2 linked regions of the Rhinolophus ferrumequinum genome follow. The protein of the gene in region 1 purifies or fractionates together with the protein of each later gene. This does not show direct contact. Links are inferred from orthologs where the notes say so. Each region holds a gene or a part of one and is shown on either strand. Other genes may lie near its edges.

What was found.
Region 2: the proteins of CSK (region 1) and TNS3 purify together in Homo sapiens (affinity purification with mass spectrometry; 4 studies listed by BioGRID and IntAct, with this or other methods). This does not show direct contact. The link is inferred for Rhinolophus ferrumequinum from reciprocal best matches to the Homo sapiens genes CSK and TNS3.

What each region holds. Positions count from the first base shown.
Region 1 is NC_046289.1:99,358,619-99,370,063, forward strand, and holds the start of CSK (tyrosine-protein kinase CSK), read left to right. Parts: upstream 1-6,283; 5' UTR 6,284-6,538; intron 6,539-6,753; exon of another isoform or gene 6,754-7,311; intron 7,312-8,443; exon of another isoform or gene 8,444-8,467; intron 8,468-11,445. UniProt on the Homo sapiens protein: Non-receptor tyrosine-protein kinase that plays an important role in the regulation of cell growth, differentiation, migration and immune response.
Region 2 is NC_046303.1:1,021,289-1,032,093, reverse strand, and holds the start of TNS3 (tensin-3), read left to right. Parts: upstream 1-6,191; 5' UTR 6,192-6,203; coding exon 6,204-6,281; intron 6,282-10,805. UniProt on the Homo sapiens protein: May act as a protein phosphatase and/or a lipid phosphatase. Involved in the dissociation of the integrin-tensin-actin complex. EGF activates TNS4 and down-regulates TNS3 which results in capping the tail of ITGB1.

The sequences.
Region 1 (11,445 bases):
GTAGTCAACACGCCCTCAGTATTGGGTGAATGGATGATGGAGGGCTTCAATTCATCAGCCATTGTGAAACTGTCAGCTCAGGAACAGACAAAAGCCTCAGGGAGCTGGACTTGAATTCATAGAGGACAGCAGGGGAGAACCAGGACTACACAGCCTGCTTCAGGAGTCAGAGAAAAAATATTCATCTAACTGCCGGTGAGTGAAAGGTGCCTTGAGCCAAAGCACTGTGCCTGCAATTCATACTTCATCTCATCTTAGCATCATAAGTACCCTGTGAGGTTGGCCTCTCACTCCCATTTTAGAGATGATTAAACTGAGGCTCAGGAAGGTTAAGTGCCTTTTGCTTAAGGTCACACAGCTGGGCAGGCGTGAGTCCAAGACTCTAACCCAGAAGCTATTAGGATAAATTGGGTGAGAATGATGCGAGGGCATCCTGGGTCCTTCCTTTCCTTCCTAGGATCCGATGGCTGAGTTCCCAGGGATTCCCTCTTCAGTTTCCTTAGCGGCAGAATGAAATGATACTTACCTCACAAATATATTGCAAAGATTAAATGGCAATTAAGACATGTAAAGTGTTTAGGATAGTGTCTGGCACGTGATAAGCCTGGTATTAGTTAATGTTACCTGTTATTATTATTATTACTATTACTACTATTACTAACTGAAATTCATGGGTGGCCAGATGGCTCAGTTGACTGGAGCACATGCTCTTGACAGCGCGGTTGCCGGTTCAATTCCCACATGAGCCAGTGAACTGCGCCCTTCACAACTAGATTGAAAACAAAGACTTGAGCTTGGAGCTGAGCCAACGGTGGGCGACCAGTTGGCTCAGTGTTTAGAGCACGGTACTCATAACATCAGGGTCACCGGTTCGATTCCCACATGGGCCAGTGAGCTGCGCCCTCCACAACTAGATTGAAGGTGGTGACTTGACTTGGAGCTGAGCTGTGCTCCCCACTAGGTTGAGAAAAACAAAAACAAAAAACAACAGCAGCTTGACATCCTGGAGAAATGCACTGTTCCCCAATATTCCCCATTAAAAAACAAAAGAAAGGAAGAAATTCACTCATTCATTCAACCAACATCTGAGAAGCGGGTTCCAGCGGGTTCCAGCCTCCAACTACAGATCCGGAAACCCGCACCCAGGGGAAAGTCAGTGCTACAATGCTGAGAAGTGGGCCATGAGGGGAACAGGAGAGAGAAGGGGGTAGCCTAGCCTTGAGATTTGGGAAGTGTCACTGCAGCTTCCTGGAAGACAAAAAGCCAGTCAATTCTCCACCCAGAAGCAGGAAGGATCTTTTAAAAATGCAAATGTACAGTCGAGGCTGTGGTAAGCCCTCTAATAGCAGGGTCCCTCTGCCCTGAGGAGGGGATCCAAAGACTCCGTGGTCCACAGGTGGCCCTGCAGGCTCTGGCCACTCGGCCTCTGCTCCCTCGTGCCCTGCACCTCACCCCATCCTGGCCTCTTTCCCCTTCTCCCAAAGCTCAACCCCTTCCAGCTCCAGAGCCTCTGCTCCCATTGTCCCCTCGGCCTGCCTCGCAGACATCTCTTCTCCTGCAGGGTCTGAGCTCTTGGGAGGCGGCTCCAGTGTCCTGTACGCACATCACAGCTGCACATCCCTCCTGGGAACTCATCGCCTTGGTGACCATCTGTACTCCCCCCAGACAGAACATTGACCAAGACAGGAACTAAGCAGGAGGAAAGAAATATGTGCCATGAGGGAAGCACCAAGAAAGGTTGCAGGGATCCCAGGTACCTTGACCAATTCATGTTGTGGACCTGCCTCTGGATCTGCCCACTCTGGGGAGATTGCAAATCAGGGAGCCCAGGACCCTTGCCCTTCGGAGCAGAGGACCAGCTAGTTAACGCCCATGGTGTGGTTGGGGAGGCCCTATGTGCATGCTGCCTCGGGCCACAGAAGTGGGGTCCTCCAGCTCCCAATGGCCTCTCAGTTGGGTCACCACCTCTAAAGCCCCGAAGCCACCAACCCACCACCACCAAGACTTCTGCCACCATCATATGGGAAACAGAGACTAACTTTCCTAGGAAATACCCTTGGAGCAAATTGGTGCAACAAAGAGAACAGACTTTCATTTGACATTAAAAAAAAAAAATGCTTGTGCCTAGTAAGTACTCGGTAAATATTAGCTATCATCATCAGTAATAATAATAAAGTACCTGGCACATAGTAGGTGCTCATTAAATGGTAGTTCCCTGGTCCCAGGGGGACAGAAGTTGGAGACAGTTGGCAGCCACCATCCCTACGGAGTCAGAGCTGCAGGAGAACACTAAATGCAACCCTTTGGTGCACAGATGGGGAAACTAAGGCGTGAACAGGGAGGACTTGCCCAAAGGCAGAAGCGATTTCGGTCCCTCGAACTTCGGTCTCTTATGCCAACGCACTGTCCTCATGATAAACTCAGCCAGCCCAAGGAGAGAGGTTTTCAACGTGTGATGCCCCTAGATTCAGATGGGCAATGCTTACTCCCAAGGAGAGCTTTGTGCGTTTGGGAGCTCAGGCTCCTTGAGGAGAATGCAGGCTGAGGCTTTGCTTTGCCTCTGCAGGAGGCGAGCACAGCTTCTTGACTTAGTGCAGCTCATGGAAGCCTGTTCTCCTGCGGATCAGGAAGGGAGAGAGGTCACATGGGAGGCCCACCTGGCCCCCTGTCGATTCCACAGCTGCTGAGCCTTTAGCAGGTGTAGATATCAGCTTGGTCATCCAGCCAAGCAGCCCCTGGTGTTCAGAGAGCAGGGGCCCCTCTGGGCACTTGCTGTCTCCTGGCTTCTGGCCTTCCTTAGGGACCTCAGCTCTAGCACTGGTCTGGTCTCCCTGACCACCTTCCTTAAGCCCCCCTTCGCACTTCTTCACCCCTTGACCCATCCCCACAGGTCAGTGAGACCCTGCAGCAGGGAAGCGGCATTCACACTGGGCCTGAGTGACCTCAAACTCATGCCCTTCCTGCTTGGTCTCCCTGCCCCCCAGATATCCCCAGTGCTGTGTCCTGTCAGTGCCAACACCAGCCCTCTTTCCCAGTGACGGCTCCTTCCACCTTCCAGTCTTTTTCTGGAGGAGGCTCATTCCCCAAAGGCCTGGCAGAGTTCCGGGGTGTGACGGTGATGACAGGGCCAAAGAACAGCTCCCAAAGCAGGAGGGCCAGCCATGCAGGGCACCCCAGGTGTTGTCAGCAAGGGAAGCTGCTCACATCAGCTCAGCCTGGGCACCTGCTCTGCAGGAAGTCGAGGGGACTTTGCTGGAAATCTGCCTTTAATCTTGGCTTCCTGTTTTCTGCCCTGGGGGACGCCCAGACGGGACTGAGTTTCAAACTATTTCACACCAGCTTCTCTAAACTGTCATCTCAAAGCAAAGAGGCTGGGGGAGGGGAGGAGCTAGGGTGGCTGAGAAGAGGCCCTTCCCTTCCCAGGAGACCCTGAGAGCAGAGTGCAGCCCACCCATGAAGGTGTTTAAGCTCCGGACCTCTGGCCATCAATGACCAACCTAACTTTGCATCGAGCTAGCCCAGTTGGATCTTATCAAAATGCAGCCCAAAGTTCTGAGCTCCATTCCCTACATCCGGGGTCTCCAGCATCTCCTCTTTTCTCCTTTCCGTCACGCCAGGGACAGGTAGCCCAGCCTGGGAAAGCTAGTGCTTGTGCCTACCTGGCTGGGACGGGGCTCCTCATCAATTCCTCCCAAATCCTAATGATTTGGAGGAATCATTATTCCTGCTCTAATGATTTCCTTTCCTAAAGTCCATTGCATGGGGAAGCTTTGGAGGTCCTCAGACCTGAAGCCCAGGCCTGGGAGTGGACTCGGAGAAAGTTTTTTCCTGTTCTGAGCCTTGGTGTGTAAAAGGTGGCTCCAAATCCTGGCCTGACATCTCCATGTCTCACAGGTGTCTTCAACTCAGTTTGTCCAAAATCCAGCTCCTGAGCGTTACTCCCAGCCTGCCCCTCCCCCAGGCCCTCCCACCTCAGGAAACAGTACCAGTTTCCTCGATTGCTCCAGCCACACCTGAGGACCAGGCCTGCTTTCTCCTGTGGCCTCACTCCCCACAAACAGCCCTTCATCAAGAGCTGTCACATGGCTCTCCTTTGTCCATCAGAGCTCACTCCTGTCACCACTGGCAGGACCATGCAAAGCATCGTCCTGGTCTCCTGTCCTTCACTCAATCATGTCACTCCTCTGCTTAAAATCCTTCAACAGCTCCCCATTGCTCATGTAACAAAACCCAAACTCATGTAACAAAAGCCTTGGTCCACAGTGCCCTCCAGGACCTGGCCCCTTCCTCACACTGCTCTCCCCCGCTTGCTGATCTTGTCCCTCAAGCTGCTGAGCCACCTGTACCTGACTCCTGGTCTGCTGTCCTCCATCAGGCACTCATCACCTTCATACCACAGTGTCTAATTGCCCTGTTTATTGATTTATCCTCTTGGACAAGACCCCTGCTTACTCTTTGCTCACTCCTTCATCTCCAGCATCCAGAACAATGCCTAGCACTTAGTAGGTGCTCAATAAGTATTTGTTGAATGAGTGAATGAATGAATAAATGAATGAAGAAGGTTGGAAGTTACTTGGCTCTTCCACTAGAGGAGAGTTCTGTGGGGGCAGGGCCCTTTATTGATTTGTCCCCTGTGCCTATGGTTCAGGGAAGTTAAAAAATTTATTTCACTCTGCTGTGAAGAGGTGGAGTCAGGATTCAAATGCAAGTCTGTTTGACTCCAAAGTTCACACTCTGGGCCACATACACCCAGGGAAAATGTCAAATGTACTTGGGGTTAAGGGAAGATGGGTAGGTAACAAAACTGGGCCAGGGATTAGAGCCTTTTCCCCACGTCCCCACAGCCCTTTCCCATTTTGCAAGCTGACTCAGCCAGGGTAGGGGAGATGTCAACTTCTCCCTTCGGAAGGCTTTGCAGAGCTGCTGAAATGCTTCCCTTTAGGCTAAGAGGTGGCCCCATCCGGTCCCACTTTATCATTCCATCTTGACCTCATCGGAAAGAAAGGGAAACCAACTGAGCTAAGCACCCCCTCCGCCCTCCCCCAAAGCCGTTATCTTGCTGAATCTGTACCATCTCTCATAAGAGAGATGTATTTTGAGCTTGATCTTACAGAAGAGGAAACTGAGCTCCGAGACCTTAAGTAACTAACCCAAGGTCACACAGCTAGTAAATGGCCCCGCTGAGATTTAAGATTTGAACCTTAAATTCGTGCTTTTTTCCACCACAGTATCTCTGAAACTTACTGGATAGCTCCTCAAAGGCTAGGGGTGTGACTACCACTCCCCTCCTTAAAGGGCTGGAGCCTTAGTGGCAAGCTGGCCAGGGGTGCATTGGGTCAGAAGGTCACCTGTGGTTTGGGTGAAGGCACACCCAACTCCTGCTCCTGGTATGTAAGGCTCTTCGCAATCTGCTGCCACAGTCTCCCCAGCTCACTCTCCCACAGAGCCCTTTACTGTCCACCTCACTCCCTCAGCCCCTCGCTTATTGTGAATTTCAAGACTTTGTCAGTACACCTCATTTCCCTACCGGAGAACGTCCCTCCTCTGTGCCCACACAATCCTGACTCTTCCTTCACGGCCCAGTCCCTAGGAAACGCCTCCACATGTCCTATCTGCACCGGAGTCTCTGGTCTCTCCCCGTCACCGACCCCACTCTCTAACCCCCCACCCACACCCACTGTCTGCTCCTGTAGCTCAAAGTAGATCTCCTCCCTGCTCCTTGTTAATAATGATATATAACAACACACGAGACTTGACTGAAGGCTGACCATGTGCCAGCCCCTGCTCACTAAGCACTTTAAATGTATTAACTCATTTCCTGTCCTACAAAACCTTAAGAAGTTGGTGCTATTATTTCCCCCATTTTATCAAATGGGGAAACTAAAGCCCAGAGAGGTTATTAACTTTCCCAAAGTCACGTAGCTGTTGACAACATCCCCATTGCCTCCAGGCTGAAAACAAAGTCTAAGAAAGTCCCACAAGGCTCTTTGGATCTCTCTAGTCCCTGGTCTTCCGGGGACGTCATCTCCTCCCACTCTCCTGGACCTACACTGTCATACTGCGCTATTTCCAGGTTCCAGAGCCATCAAGCTCTCTCATCTCTCCCTGCCGCGGTCCATGCTGTTCCCCCTGCCTAGGGTCCCAGCTCCATGAAATCTCCCCATTCGTCTCCCCCTTTTCCGCTTCCTGTGGACCTTGTACACCATTATCAGTTATTTCTTTGAGCTTGTCTGTTGGCCGGTCAGTAGTGCCGAGAACACCTTGACAGTAATGTAGTGGTCCTACTAGTAGACTCCGGAACCGGGCCCGTCTCATCGTCAGCGCCATTAATCGTCTGAGAATAAATGAATGAATGAATGCTTCCTGCTGCGAGTGAGGCCCACTCTTCACAAACAGATTCAAGGAGAAGGGCCCAGGCCCGGCCTCAATCGCTTCTACAGCAGGGGAGCTGCGCCCCGGGAAGGCTGCTGGTGGCTCCAAGGCGGGCTGGTCGGCCCACGGCGCGGGACCTTCGGGAGCCTCCATCGCAGGCCTGCAGGTGGGGGCAGGGCGTGGGCGCGGACACACCCCCCGTAGTGCCCCCGGCGCCCGGCAGGGGGCGCCGCCTCCGCCGGCCCACGCCCCACTGGCCCACGCCCCGCCGCACGCCTGGCAGGCCCCCTCGCGCAGGCGCGCTGCCGCGGGCGGAGGATCCGGGCGGCGCTTCCTCTCGCCAGGCCTGTGAGCTTCCTCCCAGCAGAGCCCCGGGCGAGCTGAGCTTGGCCGCCGCCGCCGAGCCCGCCGCCGCCCTCCCGTTCCCGCCCCACCCCGCACCCTGTCGGGGGTCCTGCCGGGGTGGGGTCCGAGTGGGGCGACCCTCCGGCCTCGCCGCCGTCGGGACCGTCCCGCCAGCCAGCGGTCCCTCCCGCCCCAGCCAGCCTGTGGCCGCCGGAGCCTCCGGGGCGTGGAGCGCGGGGAGCCCCCCGCGTCCTGGGCGGCCCCCGGCAGCCGGCGCGACGTTCCAAAATCAAACCTTGGTGGCGGCGTTCGGAAACGGAACTCTGCCGGGGCCGCGCCGGCTACATTGTTTCCTCCCCGATTCCCTCTCGCCCTCCTTCCCCCGCCTTTCTTCCCTCCCCGACCCTGGCCGCGCGGCTGCCCCCTGCGTCCGTCTGGCCGTCCCTCCTTACCCTCTCTCCGCACTCCTACCTCTTTGTACCGCATCCTCCGGGGACCCCTGCGCCCCTCCCCTCTCCCCTGGCGGCATGGACCGTCCCGCAGGCCGCTAATGCTGCCCAAAGCGAGGTGGCCCGGACCGCAGTGCCCTGAAAGGTGAGTGCGTTTGAGTATTTCCCGAGGGAGGAGGGTGGCGGTCTCACGTCCCGCTTCTGTTACTGCTGTTGCAGCTGCCGTCGCGTCCACTCCCATCCCCCACCTCCCTTACCCCCTCCTTCCCGGTTTCGAATTCTCCCGGGAGTCACTGTCAGCCCGACTGGGAGGGGAGCACAGGAGGGAAGTATTGCCCTATGAGCCCCCACAGACTTCGCTCAGGCCAGCCGAGTCTGTCCCCCTGTTTCCCCCGTGTGGGGTCTGGCTGTAGCCGGGAGGGAAGGGGTCAGCCTGGGCCAGAGCCCTGGAGAATGGGCAGTTTGCCATTCCCTACCCAGGGCCTCCCTGCAGGTTCCCTGGTCTGCCTGGTTATGACCCCTCCCTCGCTTCCCAACAGAGGCCCTGCCTGCTCTAGGAATCCCAGGGCCCAGAGATTGAGCTTGTCACCCTCTGCCTCACAGAAAACCAGGCTTAAGCCAAGGAACCTCTGACCTTTGGGTGGGGAAACTTGGCAGGGCCACTGTCCTGGGTAGAGGTGACACTGGGCATTAGGACCATGCCCCCACCGCCTGGCAGCCTGGTCAGCCCATTCTCCCAGGCTCCTCAGGGCCCAGGCCAGGTGTCAGGAAGGGGCGTGTCCAGCCACCAGATCCTTGGAACTTAACTAGGGGTTCCTTTCCTCTCCCCTCCTAGTAGACCAGGGAACTGAGGCTCAAAGGGGGAAGTTGCTCCCCCAGGCTTCTGGCAGAGCTATGCTGTCTATCCATCCATCCCCCGCTCTACAGAGCTGGACTGCTGTAGGTAGAGGGCAGCCAGGCAGGCACCTTCACTGACCAGGGACACAGGCCCCCATCCTGGCCCAAGGGACCCTGTGGGGTGAGCATGTGCTCCCCTACAGAGGGCTGTAGAGGAGGCAGAGGACTTCCGGCCCCAGCTCTGCCTGCGTATGGGCTCAGGCATCTGCACTGCCCCTGGGGTTACCCCCGGTGCCTGAGGCTGGGTCCCACTGGTGAGGATGTGGGGACACCTGTCTGGTGTGGCCCTGGCACTGAGCTGAGACAGCCTGGTATTCAGTCGTGACCCTGCCCTCCCACACCTTTGGCCCAGATGGCATAGGAACAGCCAAATTCAGAGCGTGAATGGGATCCACATGGGGAAGGTGAGAACCCTGTTTCCACAGGGAACGCCCCACAGCCTTGGCATAGGAGCATTTTCAGGGGATACCCAGGGGCCTGTTCCCAGCTCCCCACACCATGGGGATCTCAGCGTCTTTCTTGATGGGACCCCAGGGTGAAGGCAGCAGGAGGGAGATTGGGAGTGTGGCAGAATCCTCTTGTTCCTGGAAGGGTGGGAGTTTCCCTGGAGGACACCGAGCCATGTCTGGGGCCCTGCTCAGGCTCTGCCCTTGATTAGAAGTTTTTTCCCAAGTCTCCCTGACATGCACAGTGGAGAGGACCCAGATGAGGTCGGCCTGTGAGGCTCCCCTCACCCAGCCCTAACTTCCTTTCCAGCCTGGGGTTGGGGCTGAGGCCTGACATGGTTGAGCTGTACCCGGGTGGCTGGGGTCCCGCGGCCTTTGTAGACCGGGGTCTGGCTGCAGGCTGGCACATGTGCAGGGATGTGTTTTCCTACCTGGCGAGCTAGGTGCCTTCCTCCCTCTCAGAAGTGACTGCTTTTCTTTTTGTTGGATCGGGGGCAAGGAAGGACCAGAAAACAGTCCCCAGCACCACTGCAGGGGACACTGGGCCCCAAGACGGTGAGACACTACAGAGCATACAGGCGGGGGTTGAGGCCCAGGAGCCACGGTTAGCTGCCCCAGCAAGCCGCCAGGTGGCCTGAGTGGGCAGGGCAGCCTGGGCCCAGTTCTGGCCTCCATCTTTTGAGGAATTTCAAAGCCTTGACACATAATCTCCAAAGAGCAGAGGTATTTGGTACGGAAAAGAGAAGGTAGGGAGAGACCCTCACGTGTCTGAGGGGCTTTGCCATGGTAGAAGCTGTCCCAGACACCAGGGCCAGAGCTGGGGGCAGGCGGGGCCCAGGGAAGTGAGTCTGCGCTCATTGCGAGAAAATTATGTATGTATTAGTTTCTTAATTTAGAAAGTAACAAAGCACTACAGGAAATGTAGAAAACAAAACAAAAATCACCCACTGTTTCTTCCCTGGCACAGTGACTAGCATTTTGGAGTTCCCTGCCAGTCTTTCCTGGGTTTTTATTCCTTCGTCGCTATTGTCATTTCAGTGTACATGCCATGACTTTTTTCATTTAATACTGTGTCTGTGGGCATTTTCTCATGCTGCTACATGGTCTGTGTAACTTTGCCTCCGGAAAGGTGTAGAATTTTCCAAATAGCTGCCACAGCAACCCTACCCAGACCCTCTTACTAAGCGTATGCACTGTTGTTTCCTGACTGTTGTTGGGGTGGTGGTTGCTACAGGCCCCCATAGTGACCAGGAGTATCGGAGAGAGCAGGCAACTTGACAACCATCCAACCTGGTTTCCAGGCCCAGCCATGCCACTTAGGCCCGGGAGGAGGGACCTTGGACAGGTCACCGTTTGAGACAGGGTTCCTTTATGTACACACCGGGGACAGTGTCCCTGCTCCAGAGGGAAATGTGCGGGCAGTGTGAACACTCCAAGGTGCTAGAAAGTGCCTGGCACAGCCCCTGGCCGTCACAGGCACTTTGTCGGGGCGGGGGAGGGGGCATTGTTGATGGAGTGCCCACCACAGTCTGTGGAGAAGACGCTGGGCCAGAGGTGGCTGGTGGCTCACCAGCCAAGGGCTGCTCTGTGGCCCGGGGCCCTTTTAAAACCCTCTGGCCCTGAGGCTCTGGACTGCTCTGGCTAGTGCCCGTCCCGCCTTCCTGCCTGCCCCCTTCCTGTCACCCTGTGATTGGCCGGCCCAGATCACGGCCTGGCCCTGAGAAGATGGGTTACTGGTCGGTTTCTGGGACCTGACCCTACCCTTCCTTCTCTTCTCCCGGCATCCGAGCTGAGTGAACAAGGCCTCTGCTCTGAGAGCCCAGCTGCCTCCCGTCCCCCAGCTTTGGCTACTTCCTCGGCAGGCCCCTCATTTCCCCAGTGGACATAGAGGCCTACTTTCCCTGGGAAAACTGAGACTTGGGCAGGGAACCCAGGCATTCTGACCCTCAGCCAGCCTCGTCTCCGCACCCTTTCCCAGGGCCCGGGGCAGGGAGGAAGCTGGGGCAGGCAGGGATTTTAGGGCTCCCCCGGCTGGGAGTTGAAGAGGACCTAGGTGGCCAACAGATCCCTGGGGAAGTCTTGTGTGTCAGCGTCCTCCTCCTTGGAAGGTGTTCCCCATCTAACCTGAGTGTGCATTCCCGTGACATTGCATGCTTTCTCTTGTTCTGCTTATCTGGAGACCAGAGAACTGGGAGTGCCCTCCTGGGACCACCCCCTTGGACGGGAGGAGGAAACCAGTCTCAGCATGGCACCCCTGAGCCTGGGAGACCATCGCCCCAGATGACCCTAGGATGGACCAGGACTACCCCAGGCAGAGGGTCCTCCCCTAGGTGGCCCATTCAGTGCCTGACCTCGGACTCTGGCTGCCAGACCTCTGCCTGTGGAGTACCTCCCTCCTCCCTGGCCTGGTGCAGGGGAAGTGGGTATTACAGCTGCCCTCCTGTCCCACAGCTTGGGCTGGGATGAGGTCACAGGGTGGGGTCCTCTCCAAGATGCTGGCCTGGCTGGGGTGAGCCCTTTGGATGTTTCTCAGTGCCTCCCCTCCTTGGTTGGGGACAGGATGGGTGGAGGAGCAGGCCAGCCCCCCCACACTAGGCAGGGAGCACTACCTCTCTTTCTCCTCTCCTCTGGGTCCCTTCATCCAAGGGCTGGAAATAGAATCTGCTAAGTAATGATTAAAGTCAAATTTAGACCTAAAAATAAAGAGCTGGTAAAGGAAGAGTTAGTGTGCTCCCTGCGTGGCTGAGGGGAGAAGCTAGTAAGGCGGGACTAGCTTCGGGGGGCCAAGCCCCTTCTTCCCAGGAGAGGCCAAAGCCCACTGGGGTATTGGGAGTGCTTCACCAATTGTGGGGTCTCTTAGCGAGCAAGATGCAGCCTGCACCAATCGGGCAGGTTGGCTGGACCAGGGAGAGAATCCTACTTTTCGCATGGGGAAA
Region 2 (10,805 bases), on another chromosome or scaffold:
CGTCGCCTGGTGGAAACCTCACCGGAACTCTGTGGGGTTGGGAGGGAGTTGTCATCCGCATTAGCAGAGGAGGAAGTGGTGGCCCAGAGTGACCACTTTTAACCTGCAGACCGTCGGCGGGTGGCAGAGCATCATCTCCGGTGCCCCTGGTGCTGCCTGCCTGAGGTCGGTCCCGCCTCCTGGGGGGTGATGTGTCAGGCCATGTGCTTGGTCCCCAAGTCTCCGTGCCCTGTGCTTCTTAAACCAGCTGCAGACCAGAGGCCCCAGGGGAGATTTTGAAGACTTCCAGGCGTCTGGTGCCCCCCAAAGGCTGTGGGCTGAGAACGGTTTGTTCCAGGTGGGACATGGAGGGTGGTCTGGGTTCTCAGAGGCAGAATCTCCGCACAGAGTTCCAGAGGTGGGCCCGCTGTCACCCGGTTTGTCCCAGCCAGACCCTGGGTCTGGAGAACTCGGGAGTGGAAGGACTAGGGTTAATTCAGGGGGTTTTGAGCCGAGGCTGGGTGACTCAGGGCTCTGTCAGCCTCACCTGTCTCCATTCGTCCTCCCCCTGGGCAGGGGGTGTACAGGGCCTGGGGAAGGGACGCTCCAGGTGATGGCCAGGCAGGCGTGCGCCGTGTCCTCACCCCCACCTGGGGGAACGGCGTGGCTTTGGGGCCACCCACCGTGGCCACCCTCAGCTGTGGCCATGGAGCGTTACCAAGCAGGCTGACTTCCCTGACCCTCTGCTTGTCTGCAGGGAACGGGATTTCGGGCTGGGGTGTGTGGCGACAGCTGGCCCATGCGGGCATTTTGAAGCCCGTCACCAGGCATGGACAACGATGCAGATTTTCCCTTGTGTTACATAAAACCCACCTGAAATAGCTCAATTGGTCTCAGTGGGGAGAGTTGGGGGCCAGGTGAGTCCCAGCAGCCGTGTCCATTTCCTTCGGCACCCAGCGGGAAGTGGACGCTCCCCTCTCCACTTCAGGTCTCCTGGTGCCCAGAGCAGCAGAACCTGTTCCCGCACTGTGGGTCTCACCGTCTGATTCGGGGGTTGTGCTTGGAGTTCAGTGCTGGTGCAGAGCCCCCAGGCGCCTCCAGGTTTATCACTGGCGGTTGGCTTGGCGCTCAGGAGCCCTGGAGGTCTGAGAACGGACCGGAGGACGGTCGGCTGTGAGCCGTCTGGCCGGTGTCTGAGTGTAAGAGGTAGGAAGACTGGCCGAGGGCCCCCCACGCTTGCAGGCCCCTCCCTGGGTCACATCGGCGTGCAGAGAAAAACCTTGTTTCCGTTTACTAGTCTGATATGTATTGTTGCCTCTCCACCCCTTTTCCCCACGGGAGGGTGAGGCCAAGGGTTTGGGGCCCTTCTTACCCCAAGGAACCCTGCTCTGTGTCTGTGAGGGGGCAGCAGGCAGGAACATGGGGTGTGAGAGGCTGTGGGGGGTCCTTTTACCTCGGAGGTTTCAGGCCTTGATGTCCACTCAGGCAGAAGCCCGCACACTACAGCCCTTCCTCCCTGCCCTCACCCTCTCTTGCTGCACCCCAGCCTCCCCCACGGGGCAGGTGAGGGCCCAAAGATGCTTCTCTCGCAGCTCAGTTCCCATCATTTCCTTACTTCTCCCCCTGGGTGGCCAGGAGACAGAGGAGGAAAGTGGGGTAGACCCCAAGTCTGGAAAGGGGATGACACTGCCTGGGGGTCGGGAGGTGGCCCTTTAACCCTTTCTTTTGCTTTGCTCTGCAAGTTCTTGAACAAAACAGTTGCTTTTTCTTGAGCAAGGAAGCAGGGAAAACACATATTGGAAGCTGATTTTGTCAGGAAAGCATTTTTTCTGTACTTTTTGCAGAGGAAAGGAAAGAGGCGTGAAATGCCTATTTTCCGAGCATCGGCAAAAAACCTTCTGCTAAGTATGTCAGAAGTTACCACTTTGTTCCTTAAAAGGAGCCATGAGCTGTGGGAGGGTGCTGGGAGCTCAGGCTGGGGGTTGCCCTGAATTCTGTAGCCACCGACCAAGACATGTGGGTTATGTTGATGGGACTAAAAGACCCCCTTGGGGCCAGGTGCTCCTGCGTTCACCACGTCTTTGAGCACCTGCTGGGACTTGGAGAAGCAGTGGCTGTGAAAGACGGAAGCTGAGGGGGCAAGGCCTTACAGCCCTGGTCCTAATACACCCTGCGAGGTGGCCCCCGTGGTCCCGAGGGGGTGCTGGGTTAGGTGACATGCCTGTGCTCCCTGACTCTCCGTCTCCCAGGCCCCCCACTCACCCCTAGGCGCCCCGGGCCTTGGTTTCCCCTGTGTTCAATGTTCCCCATCAGGAAGTATTAGAAAGTGGCCTGTGCGCCTGGGTGGTAGTGGGGAGCTGACGCCTGCTGAGCAGGGGAGGAGGGTGAGGGATGTCCTGAGAGCCAGGATTTGCCCGAGGTCTGCGCCCAAGATGGCCCAGGTGTGCCCGCCACCAGCACCGCTAGACGGGGAGGGAGGGCCAACTCAGAGCTGGGGGCACGAGAGCAGGCCCCAGACAGCTGTCTGGGCAGGAGCTCTGTAAACCGAAGGGTCTTCTTCGTTGTCAGAGGCAACCTGCTTCTAAGATGCTTTAGGTGTCTGGTGGGGACTCCTTGCCTCTCCAGGTCACAGCACGGAGGAGTGTACTGGCCTGTGACAGATGCTGCGTGTGCCAGGACTGGAGGGTGCAGACATTGGCGTGCCCAGAATGTTTGGTGACCCCAGCGCAGACCCCAGGCTGGGAGCTGGGGCAGGGCCAGCGGGCGTGGGCGCCCCTGAGGTCCGCGTGCAGGGCCTGCTCAGGTATTGTCCCCGAGCAGGAACATTGGCAGGAGAGTTGTGCTGTCACTGCCCTGGCATCCTGGCAAGGCCAGGACTGAGGAGGCGTGGGGGGCCTGTTCTGTTGTAGACTTACTGTTCCCCTTTTACAATAAAGGGAAGGGGAATGGAGACTGTGCAGAGCTTCTCCAGAGTGACAGTGACAGATGGTAGACTGTGGCTCTCCTCGGTGAGGTCCCAGGACAAGTGGGGACTAAAACCTTTCCCCTTCCTCAGCCCCACTTACTGCTGAGCCTTCTGCCACCATCCTCTCTGTCCCCAGGGTGGGAGGCGCCCTGAGGCCACGCCGACGTCTGTTTCTCCTCAGACCTTCACTGCGTTTCCTGATTTCTGTCAGTAGGACCCATGGCCTCATGGATTACTACTGTACCCAGTGGTTTCTAATCCAGTAGTATCGCTCTCAGCGGCCGTCACCAGCCATCCTTGTATCCGTGGCAGAGCCGGCCTCATCCAAGGGCTCCTGCCCGCAGTGCAGCCTGGGTGTCCAGCCCCAGGTGGGTGATGCAGCCCAAGGCCCTGAGCTGGGGCTTGTCCTTGCAGTCTGGTCCCCAGTGCTCTGAAGTCCGTCTTCTGCAGGCAGAACCTCGCTTTGGTTCTGGGCACTCAGTGCAGCGAGCAGCCCCAGCTGGGCGTTGGGTCCGAGAGGAGCATGGAGGGCTGCAGCCTTACGAGGGGCAGCCCAGTGGCAGGGTGAGTCGGGCGAGGCCAGGGTTGTTTGCGCCTGGATGAGTGGGCTCCAGTCCTGCCCTGGTTTCTGGTCCCCAGGGTCCCCAGACTGAGCTGACCCCAAACCCTTCTGCTTCCGCTTGCTTCTGAGGGGGTCGGGTGAAACACTGACATTGACGGCAAGGACAGGGAGCAAAGCCGACTGTTTCCTTCCTACCCCAGCATTTATTGCTCCCGCTCTGTTTTGTGTGTGGAAAACCCCAGACAAAGGTTAGGATTGCAGCCTGGAGGCACAAGACAGATGACCACACTCCAGGGCTATGCCCCAAGGATGAGGTCCGTGGGGTCGGGGGCATTTAACTGGTCAGGGAGGTGGGGCAGGAGGCGGGTCTGCAGCTGAGCCCAGAAAGGCGGCAGTTTTCAGTCAGAAAGGGAAAAGGAGACGCCAGAGTGGGGCCAGCAATCTCCAGGACACAGAGCTGAGGTGTAAGCAGGGCCGGGGAGGGGGGGCCGCTAGCACAGTGGGGAATCACTGCAGGCTCCCAGTTTTGCATTTGGGGAAGTAGCTTGGGCTTCGGGGCAGAGACCACGTCCTGATTGCTGACTACTTGTGGCAACCCCTTGGGGTGTATCACATGCATGTAGTAAAGTGTGGGAGTTTTCTGAATGGTGTACCTTTCAAATAAGTAGGAGACCTAGGGAGTCCCCAGGAGAAGAACCACCATTGTTTTCCAATCGTGCAGGCCTGGCCGTGAGCACTGGCATTCAGCACGAACATTTCCAGAGGCTGGGGTACCCCCAGAGAGCCTGGTCCTCAGGTCCACGGGAGCTTTACCATGTTAGGGGTCACCTGCTGTCTGCTGGGATCAGGGTCCCTCTGCCAGTCCGTGGGTGAGGCAGTGCTGCACCCCGTGGCTTCTGGGCCAGGCGTTTGCACCGCCCTGGACAGCACTGGACAGTACAGTGTGTGTACTGGTCCGTGCCCAGCCTGTGTTAGGTGCTGGGGAAGCAGACATGAATGCGGCCGGGTGTGCTCAGGCTCCTGCAGTCACGGGGGAGAGGGCTGTGTCTGCAGAAAAGAAAGTCTGAAAATGTGAATAATGACGACGGGGGCAATGAGTAGGGCTGGATGTCTGCTGGGCCAGGAGTCGGAACCCAGAATGGCACCCTCCTGGCCTTCTCGTGGTTGAAGGTCGGAGAGCAGCTCTCCTGTTCCACTGCAGAAACGGAAAGGCGGATGGATATTCAGCGCCAGAGCCTGAGAGGTTAACCAGCCGGAGTCCTCGGCTGGGCTGGAATTCGCACATGTGTTAACCATGAAGGCCCTGGTCCAGCCCACCCAGACGACTGCAGAGCTAAGGCATTGGGAGTTGCGAGCAGAGGGGAGGATCTGAAATCGGGCGTTAGACCAACACAGCTCTGAGCTGTGGACGCATCGCAGGTCACTAGAACCACACACGGCTGGGCCTCCGGGCAGGTCAGGTCAGGTCACTGGGGCCACTGCTGGGGGTACACGGGGGGGCCAGCCTGAGGCCAGAGGGTTCCCCAGCGCCATCTGCTCCCGTGCAGGGGCCTCCTCCGTGCCCCACTGGAGGGAGGAGGTGGCCCCAGCAGGACAGGGCCATGGCCAAGGTGGCCTTCCTGTCTCTTCCATCCACAGATGCGGGAGCTCCTGGTGGAATTAAGCCCCACTGCTCGTGTGGACAGCCCACGAGGACTCCATCCTGCGGGGTCTGGCAGGCCATGGAGAAGCCCTCCCTCCCTTCCCCGCTGCCTTTCCCCTCTCCAGGTGTCTGCCTTCTTCCTGTGACACCCTGTCCCCACCGTACAGCCCACCTTCACCTCCCAAACTCCAGGCTTCACATTTCCTTCTGAAACCGCAGCCCCCATGAGCAAACTGGGACTGGAAATCGGATGTGATGTGGGGAGCTGGGTGGCACAGGGATGGTGGGGGGCAGGAGGCCGGGGGCCCTGCCCCAGAGGAAGGCTCCTCATCACTTGCTTTCAGCGGGGGAATCCCTACCTCATCCCTCTGGAGCAAGGCTGCTCCTTGTTTTTCTTAGTTGAAGAGGCAAATCGGAAAGAAAGCCTTTCTTTCTGCCTGACGCTTTTCCTTCTTCCCACTAAACCCACGGTTGGAAGGCAGCAGGAATTACTAGCGATACTGGCCATTACCCGAGCACTAGGTGACTAGACGCATTCAAGACTTCAAGCCCTGAAGCCAAAGCGCCTGCGGGTTTTGATTTTGCACCTTGGTCAGAGTTACTGGAGAGCTCTGAAATCCTAGTCGGGCGGCACCCTAGCCGAAGGCGAAGGTAATCCAGTCGGAGGCGGCAGAAGCCTCGCCCCCCACGCCTGCCCCGGGGGCGTTTCTGCTCCACTCTCCCTGGGTTTGGCTGAGAAGCCTTCGCCTCCTTTCTGGAGCTGCGGTCTGAGGTGGGGGAGGGAGGGCTAATTCGTGTCAGATGGAGGGGCGCCGGGGGACCGTGCGCTTGCTCGCCTGGCTTTTGTTCCCTGCGTCTGACTTCTGAGTGCGGAGTGGAAGTGGAGGTGGCGGCCGTGTCCTTTCGGGCCTCCGGGCGTCGAAATTTTCCTGGGACTCCCAGACGCAGCGGCCCAGAAGGCACCCCTGTGGGGCACCGCCGCCGCCCGGAGAGTTGGCGCCCGCCGACGTCCTCACTTGGCCCGGCTGGGCTCTTCCCCGGCGCCGGGAGCCGCCATGCGGCTGCGCGCCCTGACTCGGGGGCCGCCTGGAGGATGCGCGCGCGGGGCCCGGGCGCGCCGGCACCGGCGCCAAGTGAGTGGGTGCAGGACGCTGGGAGCCGGGGAACCCGGTCGCTGGGGGCGCGGGGGTTGCAGGGCGCTGGGATGAGGGGGCGCCAGGGTGCGGGGCGCTCAGAAATGAATGCTTTCGGGCTGTAGCCCGCGCGTCCCGTGTGCGCTCATACTCGCGGCCGTGCACGCTCTGTGCAAGTCTGTACCTGTGCCCGTGCACCCTTGTCTGCGTGTGCACGTTCACGCTTGTGCCCTTGGTGCGCGTGCCCAAGTGTGCTCATATGTCCACGGGTGCGCGTGTGTCCTTGTCTGTGCCCCAGCGTGTGCGCTTGTGTACCCTTGCGTGTGGGCGCAGGAGAGGAGGAGAGATGGAAAGCGGGCCTTGCCTGGTGGGAGGCGGGCGCCCGGCTGAGGCCACAGAGTGGGAGACAGTTCAGGATTAACTTTCTAATCCAACCACCTCTTGAACAGGCTTCCTTGGACTCCATTCAGGGAATGGAAGTAGGACATGGGCCATTACGCAGACTCCCAGCGCAGCCCGTGTTGTCTTGCAAAGGAAAGGGCACTCAGCTCTGTGCAGACGCTGGGATGCGCTGGCCTGTTGCAGTAGTACAAGTTCCTGGCGGCTGCATCCGAGACCCTGGTCCACGGTGGGGCCTCCAGAGGCTTGATTTAAACAGAGCGAATGTGGGAGGGGCTCCCCGCCACCTCCCACCGGACCCGCAGCCCTTTCTTTGAGTTCAATAGTTGGGCCTTGGTGACATTCAGTTTCCTGGAAACTTTGGTAATGTTCTGAGGAGTGAGAGGTTGTCAACATGTCAGCTCCTTTCCCTCCTTCTGAGTTGTGTAGTGTCCTCATTTTCAACTCACCAGCCAGAGGGTCTTGCTGGGAAGCTTGAGGACGAGGTGTGGTGTGGGGAGGGTCCTGGGTCCTGTGGCTGCCAGTGGATGGACACATCTCCAGGAAGGGTCAGTCACCCCCCAGTTTGGGGCACACACTGTCCCTGTGGGAAGTTTCGTGGCCCTTTAACTTCGGAATCCAGCCGATTTGTGTTTTCACTGTCTGCCTTCCTGGACTGCTGAGGTTTCTTCAGGTCCCCAAATGCACCCTGGATCTTCTTTCCTGAGAGGAAGACAGAACTTGGGTTTTGCTGGTGTAGCTTTGTGTGGGAGCCCCTGGGAGGGAGGTCTGGGAAGCTCTGCCTCACCACAGAGCAGAGTGGGGTGGGGGGTGTGGCTCCCCTTCTGCACTCAGGGGTGCACTTCCTTCCCCAAATGTTCAGATTTTTCTTTCTAAAAAAACTCACAGTCAAGACCAGCGCTGACCACCAAGCACCCCTCAGGGTGGAACCCCTAGCCTTGCCCTCTCCCTTCCCAACCGCCTGCTCCAAACAATTGAATGCCATTTAGATTCCTGAACTGAGCCTGCTCAATACTGCAGTACCGAGGCCTCCCCTCCCCCTGTGCTCCTGGGCCCCACCTCTTTGGGAGAAATGAAAGCACCTCTCAGGTGAGAACAAAGGCTGTCTAATCCGCCTTTGGGCTCCTTGTGCAGATGCCATGTCAGCAGATGTCATTACACTATCTGAAATGAATCCTCAGGCATCCAGCCACTGAAATGGGTCCAGCCTCCCAACAGCACCTCTGCTGTTTCCTTCTTCCTCTCCCAGCTGTGGCCCAGCGGCCACGAAAAAAACCTCAGGAACACAGTGGCTCTTTCTCCCTGGTTGGAATAAAGGTATTTGTAAGGAATAAAAGGTCACAGTGTTTCCTCCTTGGCCCACAGACTGGCCAATTCATTTGGTCAACAAATATTAATGGAGGGTCCACAGTTCAGTGTCTGCAGGTGCCATGCAGGGCTCGCAGGACAAAGGATAAGAGCCCGTCGTCCTGCGTCTAGGAAATGACAGTGAAGCACAGGACCAAAGGCATAGAAACAAAGAACTGAAACTTGGGGGGGTGGGAGGAATGGATGTGCCAAACTGGGATTATGAAGGAGGGCTGTGTTTGTCACATGCGTGAATGCTTCCTCCTGTCTGAGCATGAGGCTGGGCTGGGCACCAGTCCGAGCCCATGTCCCTTACCCACTGGCTGTGTGGTCTCTGTCTGGCATCCTACAGCCCTATCGCTGGAACAGTGACGACCGTGGTTATGGCACGGAAGGGTCCTGCCAGTGCCGTGAACTTCATGATGGCAGCACTGTCATTCCCCCATGGAAGGAAGGTTCTCAGAAAGTGTTCAACCTCTTACAAACCCAGACACACATATGAAGACACATGGAGTAACAGTGCCTTACGGGCTGTAGAACACATCTTCAGGGTCTAGTCCATGGGTAGTGCTGGCTCTCAGTCCCACGTGCACGGTGGAGTTTCTGGGAGCTTTCAAAGAATTCACATTCTGGCCCCACCTCCTTAGTCTGGGGTGAAGCTGAGGCAGAGCTGTTTTAAAAACTCTGCCATAGCAATTCCCATAGGCTTCCAGTGCTCACAGCCGGCACCTGGGTGAGCCCTTGGTCACTTACAGTAGCTCTTTTAACAGGCAGGAGGCAGGGGGTATCTTTCCTCTTCAAGAAAGGTTGTGACTTGCCAGGGTCACAAAGCTTGTACTGTGGGTGGCAGAAGTGGTGACACGGCTTCTGCTTGGTGCAGGACACTTTCTCTCATTTGATAATCTCGACAAGATCAACCCAAACACCAGGAGATAAGTGCCCAGAGTGCTGCCGGACTGCTAAGGACTGGGGTGGGGATTGGAGTGATCCCCAGAGAAAACTGTTGCCAGCATTCCAGAGAGCTTGACTAGCAGGGGAAAGATGGCTGGCTGTCCCACGCATGCTCTGTGAGCTTGGAATGGCTGAAGCATTGGTACAGCTTAAGGAGTTTTGAATTCACTTTGATTTATTGCTGGGTATGGAATTCTAGGTTGGCAGCTTTTCTTTTGGTACTTCATGTTGCTCCACACTCTTCTCACTCGCTTTTTTAAAAAATGGACAGATCTGCTGTTTTGCTAATGGTTGGTCCCCTGTATATAATGTGTTTATTGTTCCCCCATCTGGGTGCTTTTAAGATTTTTCTTTGTCACTGGGTTTGAGCAGTTTGATTATCATGTGTCTTGGTGTACTGTGTGTCACCAAACTTACACTTTAGATTTGTTGACTTTCTTGGATCTATGGGTTCATAGTTTTCCTCATGTTTTGGAAAAGTTTCAGCCATTATTTCTTTGAATGCCCACCCCTCCCCTGCCTTTTCAGAGACTCCAATTACATGCATATTAAGCTGCTTAAAGTGGTCCCAAAGCGCTGTCGCGCTGATGCTCTGTTTGTTTATCTATTTATTCACTTACTTAGGTTGTCTTTTCTGTGCTTATTTGGGAAGTTTGTACTAAGATTTCTTCAAGTTCTCCATTCTGCCTTCTGCAGCATCTAATCTCGCCTTAATCCCATCCAGTGTATTTTCAGCTCTGATTTTCACATTTTTCTTTTATAGATATTTGATTTGGATCTTTTTATACCATCAAGGTCCCTACTTACCTTCTTGAACATACGGAACACAGTTATAATGCCTTTTAATAGCTTCTGTGCTGATTCTGTCAGTTCAGGGTCACATTCATTTGGTTGATTATTCTCATCTTGGGCTGTGTTTTCCTGTTGCTTTGCATGCCTGATAATTTTTGATTGCATAGCAGACATTGCACATTTTACCTTATTGGGTGCTGGGTGTTTTTCACTCTTACAGATATTCTTGATCTGAAATTCGATTAAGTTACTTAGAGGTAGTTTGATCCTTTTGGGTGCTGCTTTTCAGATGAAGTAGGCAGAACAGGAGCAGTGCCCAGTCTAGAGTTAATCATTCTCCACCATTAAGGCCAGATCCTTCTATGTTTTCTGTACAGTACTGTGTGAATCTTGACGTGTTCTGGTCTGGTTGTGGGAACAGGCACCACTCCCAGCTCTGTGTGAACACTGAGCACAGTTTCCTCTCATCCTTTCTGGTGATTCTTTCCCCAGCCTTGGGTAGCTCCCTCATACATGCGTGTGCACACATGCATGCATGCACACACACACATGCACACACGCATGTGCTCCTCAGTACTCGGCTGAATGCTTCAGAGTACCTCACGAAGACTGTGAGAGTTCTGTGCAGCTCTCTGTTCTCTGGCATTCTGTCTTGTTCTGCCTGAACTCTTAGCTCCTTCTCCTCGACCCACGTAGTTGCTGGTTCCCCTTTCTTCCCTGCATCCTGGAACCTTTCTCGATGCAGGAATCTGGGGCAATCGTAGAGCTCACCTCGTTTTTTCCTGCCTCAGAGGAACTAGATAGACTAGTTTGCCTGTGTATGAACATCCTATAAATAGAACCATTCACTGTGTGCCCTTTTGTCTGGCTTCTTTCACGCTGCGTAATATTGCTTTTGATGTTCACCCTGATGCTGTGTGTTAGTAGTTTGCTCTTGTTCCACTGCAGCCTGGACCAGATAAGTGACTGGCTTATCTGAGCTCCTTCTGATGACGTTTGGGTTACTTCTTGTTTGGGACACTTTTAAATCAGGTG